Neodiprion lecontei: one gene and its partner. The protein of the gene in region 1 binds, or shares a complex with, the protein of each later gene. Links are inferred from orthologs where the notes say so. Each region holds a gene or a part of one and is shown in the gene's direction. Other genes may lie near its edges.

Region 1 (5,252 bases):
AAATTTATAAAATAGGTTCATCCTTCTACATATCATCAACGTGCTTCTCGCAAAAAGAAAAGTGTTTCAGAATTTTTCGGATATTTTCAAAACTTGAGATATCGAATTTTTTCAAGTCATAATTTTAAAAGTGCTCAACAAAGCAAACAAAAAGTCTGCATAAGCACTTTCTTGAAATGATTGGAACTAAAAATAAAGTATTTCAACATTTTTTCAAAATATTTGCCGCTCAAAGTTGACTACGTAAAAAACTTTGAAAAAATAAATTGAGCGTCTTAGAAATGCTAATATCGCCTGTAAAAGATTTGATATATTCATGTAAATATAAACAATACACGAACATGTATTTGATTGATATTTATTTTTCCGTTATGTAATTTCGGCGTATATATTTCTTGTACGGGATTTTCTCAACTTTTCAATCTCACGATGACGACTGTATGTTATCAACGTTTTGCACGTGATAGTTGTTTGTTTTCAAGAACTTCTCTTACGTGCGTTGTTAGTTGCTTGGTTGATAATACGTGAAACTACTATACCTCCAAACCCGGTCAAACTCAGCAAACTGTTACGAAAAATAACTCGTTATCAGTCTTTACATATCCTCAGTCAACGTTCCCTATGAAACATCTAAAAATGATCAATAAACATCAGTACATACATATAAATGAGAAGCAGCTTTTGGTTATATGCGCTAGGGCTAGATTAACGTCTGGGACTACTGCCTAACTACAATTGTTTCAATTTTCACGAATCAACGATCCACTATCAGATGTCGAAACTTCACTATCCAACACCACCAAACGATCAACAAACGATTGCCAGCATGGGTAATTGCATTTCAATGCAATTTACAGTTAACGAGGAGTTGTCGTAAGTTAGACGTTCTGGGATTGAACAAACTCCCGGAATTGGTGCCTAACTAGAGTCGTCTTATTTATTTTATTTTTTTTGACTGGCTTAGGGGAGGGCTATGTTTTTCAATTTTTTCAGGTAATTGGAGGACTATTGAATGTTGGAGAAACGCTAATAAACACCAACATACGACGAACAAACGATTCTGCACAAGCAAAATTCAAATAAATCCCAAAATACAACTGTGAGGGGTTAATGTCACTGAACTCCCTAGCCGGTGTTGTTCTAATAATAACAACGTAATTATTAACTATGGGTATGTTTCGATATACACTGCGAGCACTGTAAGGTGTGTCGTCAATTTAGTATACTGCGAAGCCGTTCCTGTATAGTTAGCTATACTGGTTACTGCTTAAAACGTGCTTAAAACGGAACGCAGTACAGTATACTGTGATCAACATTTTTTGGCGTTACTTTCATTTCATACATAATATTTGTTTCACATTGTAATAAACACAATTTATTCAAATTTTCCATTTTTGTTTTTAACGGCCGATATTTTTAAATGACAATATTCAATAATAATAATTATCAATAGTGGAAGCTGTTAAATTTCTGAACGCTGTTGATCACGTGATCAAAGCACTGAGAGCACCTTACCTCGAAAGCACCAGTGTTCACAGTAGAAAAATGGCAACGATTTATGACGTCATATATTTCCCTAGGATTTCCTAGAATTTCTCCCCAGTAAGAGCACTGAACAGTGCTCGCAGTGTATATCGGAACATACCACTGATATGAACATACCCTATCAAGGCCGTGTTCGTAAATTGACTGACGGTACTGAAAATTCCCTAGGACAGAGTCGGAGCTATTTACGAACTTGGAAGCGCAAAAGAGATGAAAGATTGCTGACAGTACTGTCAGTCAATTTTCGAACACGGCCCAAACCTCGGGTACTCACTACAGAGAGAAACCTATCAAACACAAACGATCACAGATTACTTTTCGAGGTACTGGTCTAGACTATTTTGTATTACCAGGTTTTAGTGGGGGCGAAACTGGTCATCGGTACGACGACGTCGGCAATCTGAACGATTATAAAAACATTGAAGTTACTGACAAATGCGTAATTGGTTACGTGTTGTTGCACAACAATGATAGAATATTTGTTCATATAATTATACGAAGTCATAAAAAATATACTTGACACAGTTTAGACTTATTATTTACATAAAGTGGTTGAAACAACAGTCACTATGGGATGTTGCCCAAGCCTTTGCAAAGAAGACAATGGGCCGCAGGTATGTCAGATGTAAAGTACTTGGACTAATCCTTGCCTTTTATTTTGAGTTTATTTCTTCTCCTTTGCTCATCATTCTCACGTCTACTACTTTAGAATTGATACGTGAGTTTCAGTAAAGACACTTATCAAACTAGTCTCGATCATCATCAATCGTAAAGGTACAAATTTTGTGTAGGCATTTCGTCGCCACGATTGTATTTTTATTTATACGCTGTATTTTTCCATTGACATAAACGACTTTGACAGCTCTGAAATGTTAATTTGATGCCACTTCTCGTTCGGCGAAAAAATAACCATTTAACATTCCATTTTTGCATATCTACAATGACGCACATCATCTAGGAGATGAAAAATATAAAAATTATAGTAACAAGTAAAGCCACGGACACACGAACGATTTCCAAGTGCGATGTCATCATTATTATTAACTACAATATCTGGCGAGTTTACCATTATTTCTGCCCCCCTGTGGTATTTTTATTTACCTTATTTCGCGATAACCTACCCAGATAACTTTGATCTACTGATACTGCTGTAATAATTATCATTTATTGAAACTCATTAATTGACTTGAAATGCTTTCACCAACATTTCTCTCACAACAGTAGATTAAGACTGAGTAGACTAATTACTTCTAAGTTCCTAACCTGTATCTTAATTCGACTGACTTGTATTTTCAGGGTGACGCAGCTAACGAGAGAACACGTTTGCTGGTAAATCCGGTCAGCAATACACCAAATATCCCAACAGCTCACAGGTGATTGATCAGACTTTAAAGCATGCGTAAAAAGTATTTGTGTTCCATTCTTTTTATTATAGTGACTGTCACTTATATAATATCAAATGCTTTTTTGCTTCTTATTTTATTACTTTCCAGTGACGATTATGTTAATCCATATGCGAACCCTGTCCCAAAGAAGACTGATGAACAAAGCGCACTGAACCGAATCTTGCAGGAAACTGCCGCGTGAGTATTTTTTATTTATTTTTTTTTTGAATTTGTATCCTATTTATTTTGCTGTTTACGAAACTTGAGCTATACCTTCTTAGTTCTCTGCATCGAATGCATGCTGCTGCTGCACGTTGGCTTAGTACCAAGTTTATATTTAAATTGTCTCTAGGACAAGCTTACTATACCTTTGAGTAATGCTTTAGAATTTCACGATTTCTGTTTTTCTTTGTGCATTTCAAGTTCTGTTTTATACTAACATAGCATGGTAGCCTAGCTTCTACAGATTGAGCCTCGGAATTGGCTTCTCCATCAACTTTTCAACTCGAGGTTTAATAATTTTCTAAATTATACCTATTTTGTAAATACTTTGCTGACCGTTAATTTAATTCTCTGTAACTTGTTTGAAGCAGTAAAAATAACAGACAAATGTTATAAGAATCATTTGACAAAGTTACATTCAATAAAAAATTCGGCTCGATTTTGCCACCTCTAATTTTCATCTCCTTTATCAGCAATGTGATCGATGTCGGTGCTCTCGACTCGCACAATTTGGAACAGCACGAATACATGGATAGGTCAAAAGCATATGCCAAAAGAATAGAAGTTATCGGTGTTCAAATACCTGACCATCCGCCATGTCTATTAAAAGATATACCAGCGCCCGAAAGAGTATTGGCTGGGGAAGGGCTGCCCCAACAGGATCGAGAAATGGTAAATAATAACTTCCACTAATATGAAATAGAAATGATGAAGTAGTGAAATTTCTATGATTTCATTGCTTATCTAAATATTTTCACAGGTTACAGATATGATGAACAGTGCGGTAACCGCGTTGAGCGAGATACAGGTGGAACATAAAGAAGATTTAGTCGTACCCTTCCTGTCGTGACTGCATTTCAATCAGATGGAAGCTTGAGCCTAAAATTTTAATATGTCTAATGACATTTATAACAGCTGTAAGAAGAAAATCAAATTTTCTACTCGTTAAGACATTTAATTCTTGTTACAGATCAAAGGTATAGATACTCTACTTGTTCGCCACAAAATCTTTATTGCAATTCAATTTTGAGCTTTATACTTAGCAGCAATGGAAACATATATTAATTTAGGTCATGCTATTCTATGCTTGTCAGAAACTCTCGATACTAGATATATCCCCCAATTTTTATTATTAACTGGTTCTAACTTTTTTTTTTTCATTTTTTTTAGTGTATCACCGTTGCATTGCTAAATATTGTTTATCGTGTAATCACTCGCGAATCGATTCTATGAAAACCGTAGTTTTAAATGATTGTAAATAACGGTTTTCTCTCGTAACGTTTTAAAGTATTACTCGGACGTGTTAATAAACCAGCGTTATGAAATTCTTTTGAACTATGTTTAAAAATCCCACTTTTTGTGGATGACAAGGTTGCATATTATGCTTATCATATTGTACAAATCGGCTGACGGGAACAGTGAGACGCTAGCGCAGGCTTGATTGGACAATGTATTTTGTTGAATGACAAATACAAAATGTTGAATACCCATGGCGTTAAAAAAAGGCTTTTCATGTGAATATGATGTAATAAAAAATATGTTTCATTTGTAATACAAATGGTATCTTTGTTCATTAACAATAGTTCGAGGTTTTAGGGTAGCGTCAAACTACCTATAGATATAAAGAATTCGCTTGCAGTTGCGTTAACATAAATAAATAAATAAATAAATAAATAAATATGAGAAGTTATCAGAAGAGGATAACAAGACGACTACTCACTAGGGTGGTTGAAAAAAATAAAATTTTATTCGCTTTTACCCCCTTCTAATGTTGGTGTTTGATAGAAAAAAAGATCTCGAAAGATTAGCTCTTGAGCTCAGTCTAACAGGTCACTACTTTAATTTTAATTTCCCTTTCATTCAACATGAGAAAATTTCACTTTTCGTTAAAAATTAAAATATTCGTAAACTATTCAATATTTTTGAAATCCATGCATAGATAGAATCTTGAAGGTGATTCTCTTTGCGGTAAAAATTGGTAGTTTTCAGATGACTGTAATGTGAATTCTAATGATGATGACTATGATATGTTATAGCGGTTTGAAAAGCTCGTAAAATCAGCTGCAACGATCTATACATGAATTTAAAAAATATCGAATA
Region 2 (3,375 bases), on another chromosome or scaffold:
TAATGGGTTGATTCCAACCAGTCACCAGCCGCGGAATATTCTTGCAGATTATAGCTTCCCTGAAGACAGTGCCGCCCAGTATATTCCTGATAGTGCCGTTGGGGCTCTTCCACATCTGTTTCAACTTGAACTCCTTGACTCGATTTTCGTCCGGAGTTATCGTCGCACACTTTATGCCCACGTTATATTTCTTTACAGCCTCCGCGCAGTCCACCGTCACCTGGTCATTAGTTGCGTCCCGGTTCTCCATACCCAGATCATAAATGTGCAACTCAATATCCAGGAACGGGAGTATCAATTTGTTCTTGATAGAGTCCCAGATGATACGAGTCATCTCATCTCCAAGAATGTCAACGACGGGTCCAGCCTGTTGGAAAAATGCTGTTTCTTTAAGTATTTTCATAAGAAACTGCTGAACATCTTATTTACAACAATTTCATTGTACAATCTAATCATGAACGGAAATTCCGAGAAATAATCAAACTATCAATCAATTGATTATTACGGCTTATATCGCGTGAGATAATGATCGCTGTGATATCCACATTGTAGTAGGAACCTTATCATTCGAAACTTATTAGCTTTCACTCGACCTCGAGCTTGTTTTCTATTTAAGTGAAACCATCGACATTCCACGGCAAACGATGGGTCGACTAAATGTGGGGGGGAGGAGAGGGGATCGACCTCTGCACTGTGCACCATAATGTGCACTATCATCCAAGGTGGTTTGGAACGGGGTTCTAATCATGCAATAAATACGGAATACTTCGGAACACGAACGCTGCGAACAATAAAGTTCCCCGAAAGGTGAATCGCAAGTGTCTCGTGATTTGAAGTGCCTTCTCTCAGTCGCGGCATTAGTATAGAAACTGTTTAAAACGGATACGCGACGATCGCGACCGGCCGTATGAGACTCGAATGTTTTTTAAACTGCAGGAAGATGAATCGGCTAACAGGGCGACGCCTCGGGGGAGCGTGATGGATCAGGGTGAGATATGTACATTCATAGATACCTTGATCTTAGCCATAGCGATTGACGTGGAGCTGAAGTTTTTCGATGTCTGTGTCGTCCACGTAAGGTTTCGTCTGCGCGATGCGTCGAATGAGGAGTTTCGGTCGAGCAGAGCGACGGACGACGTACTGCAGCGAAGTAATCGAGCCGCACTGTCCACGGCGGCACTCGGTCCTAACAGGCGAGTCAAGGAACGGAACATGGCGCCTGTTATTGTTATTATTACCGGATTATACGACTAGGGGATAGGATGAGTACGTGTACGGAACGGGTTGCGTACCGCGTATCGAACGATCCTAGAGTTGCACCGTCACTGGTCCCGTCGACCGGGTTCCCGAGATGTGTTATCTCTCGCGGAAAGTTGTGTACCCCAGGGACCTTTGGACGCGCTCCCCGGGTCCGAAGAGTACAATAAACCAACGGTTTATTGTCATTGACGGGTCAATTGATGCCACCCCTACATAAAATTGATAGCGAATTCTAGACGTTAACAGTATTGCTGACACGCGCCATTCTTTTAACGGGAGTTGGTTACGCAATCGATTGCCGCCTAGAGCGGCCAGCCGTCGAGTCAATCGGCCGAAGCCCGAGAGGCAATGTAACAGCGGTGGCATCCGCCATAAAATATCGGACTAATAACAGCTGCCCTCCAGGCTATCTACATAATTACGGTTCGCAATATTTTTTCATTTTGCCCCGAAATATCCGAAATATGTACTGCACATGCATTAAAGGTACTGTGTGGTGTTATTTAAAAGGCGGGCTGAATTAGCAATTTCTGTGAGTGTCATGCGTGATAATAACGTCTTGTTAATGCCTCAGAATAAATGAGATATTTATTTTCAAAGTCAAAACAAGGATGAAACTACGACATTTGCTACACTGATATGTAATGATATTTATGTCTCATTTGTAAACCACTGACCTCTACTTGTATGCTAGAGATCAGTGATGTAAACTCAGTGGTTTACTACAGAAAATCATACCGCGAACTTCACAGAGTTCGGCCATTTTCAGCACTCATTAGCTAGAGGAGCTAGAGAGTAAATTTGAGACCAAACTACAGGAGAGTGGATTACAGCGCCACGGTGAACAAACGATAAATGATATCTCCAGATTTCCAAGTTTTGTCAGTTGGCTACATTGAAGTCTAAGCAGGCAGAAAACAAGAGCAGAAAAATACATCGCGCTGCATCGCGCTGGCTACCGCGTTGTATTTTAGACTATCGCCACACGTCAAACCACAGGTTTTGTGTGTTGACAGGTGACACTTCCTCGCAAGGACAATTTTGATACTCGGCTCCCCAGTGCTTACGTTAAATTTTACCATTCTGCAATATACAAACATCCGCTAGGTTATTTGAAGATGTTGTCGATGGAGAGAATACCTGAGCAAATCGGTTATTTGGTATTAAAAGAGGACGGGGCGGTACTCACGGTATGACAACGCGATACAAGTCGAGAGCTTCATCATTGTTTACTTTTGTTTTTTTTTTTTCACTGCTGTCATTTCAGTCGGGTGGAGAGCTGGAAAACGACGAGAGAATTGCAAACATTATCATGAGCCTGATCACTCTGACCGACACGATCGATCCCAAGGCGTTTGCGTCCGATGAAACATTCAACAAAATATCCATAACCTACGAAGATCACTGCTACGTCATATGCCTGTCAAACAAGAAGGTTCACATTGTTAAGAAGAAGATAACCGCGTTGACCTCATCTCAAGAACAGCAGCAGCAGCACCTGCCAGTGATTGCTTGATGAGTCAAATATTGCTTATCGAAATAATTACAAGGAACATATGTTAAGTTGAAATATAAAAATGAGACATGTAATAAAGCAAAGATCGCAAATGTGAACGGTAGCAAGTTTCCTAGCTTTTTTGCTAGTGGTTCTGTTCATTGCACCTAATCGACTAATTATAGATGTAGTTGGACACCGAGGGTGATTCTTCGGTTTTTAGGCAGTCTGCGCCATCTATGAGCTTAGCAAAACGTCTATGACTGAACAAAGATGCTGCAATCTGCGCGAATATTTTTTAATTATCACGAATATGCATATGTACGCATGCATAAATGTGTGTAGTTATAATCGGTAATAATACGCGTGGGAAATATAACCCGTTAAACAATGATCGGTAGTATTGTTTAGATGTAAACAAATGGCCACCATCAAGGTAACCGAACAAAAGGTGATTTTATGTGGCGAATACGGGGTCGGGAAAAGTTCGATATTTAGGCGATTCGCGAACAATACCTTCGTCTCAAACAATGATAGAAAATCGACCTTGGGACTGGACAATATCAACAAACAGTACACCATTGACGAAAAAACGATTCGCGTAAGTAGCACATTTGCCT

The links.
Region 2: ragulator complex protein LAMTOR1 (region 1) and ragulator complex protein LAMTOR4 homolog share a complex: the UniProt entries of both Homo sapiens proteins name them as parts of the ragulator complex. The link is inferred for Neodiprion lecontei from reciprocal best matches to the Homo sapiens genes LAMTOR1 and LAMTOR4.

Annotation. Positions count from the first base shown.
Region 1 is NC_060263.1:15,853,634-15,858,885, forward strand, and holds ragulator complex protein LAMTOR1, read left to right. Parts: upstream 1-1,933; 5' UTR 1,934-2,114; coding exon of another isoform or gene 2,115-2,119; coding exon 2,120-2,170; intron 2,171-2,841; coding exon 2,842-2,918; intron 2,919-3,038; coding exon 3,039-3,128; intron 3,129-3,625; coding exon 3,626-3,824; intron 3,825-3,912; coding exon 3,913-4,002; 3' UTR 4,003-4,704; downstream 4,705-5,252. UniProt on the Homo sapiens protein: Key component of the Ragulator complex, a multiprotein complex involved in amino acid sensing and activation of mTORC1, a signaling complex promoting cell growth in response to growth factors, energy levels, and amino acids.
Region 2 is NC_060264.1:23,151,556-23,154,930, reverse strand, and holds ragulator complex protein LAMTOR4 homolog, read left to right. Parts: upstream 1-2,149; 5' UTR 2,150-2,378; coding exon 2,379-2,450; intron 2,451-2,527; coding exon 2,528-2,776; 3' UTR 2,777-2,874; downstream 2,875-3,375. Other genes in the region: isocitrate dehydrogenase [NADP] cytoplasmic, read right to left, coding at 1-367, 1,014-1,214; GTP-binding protein YPT6, read left to right, coding at 3,177-3,356. UniProt on the Homo sapiens protein: As part of the Ragulator complex it is involved in amino acid sensing and activation of mTORC1, a signaling complex promoting cell growth in response to growth factors, energy levels, and amino acids.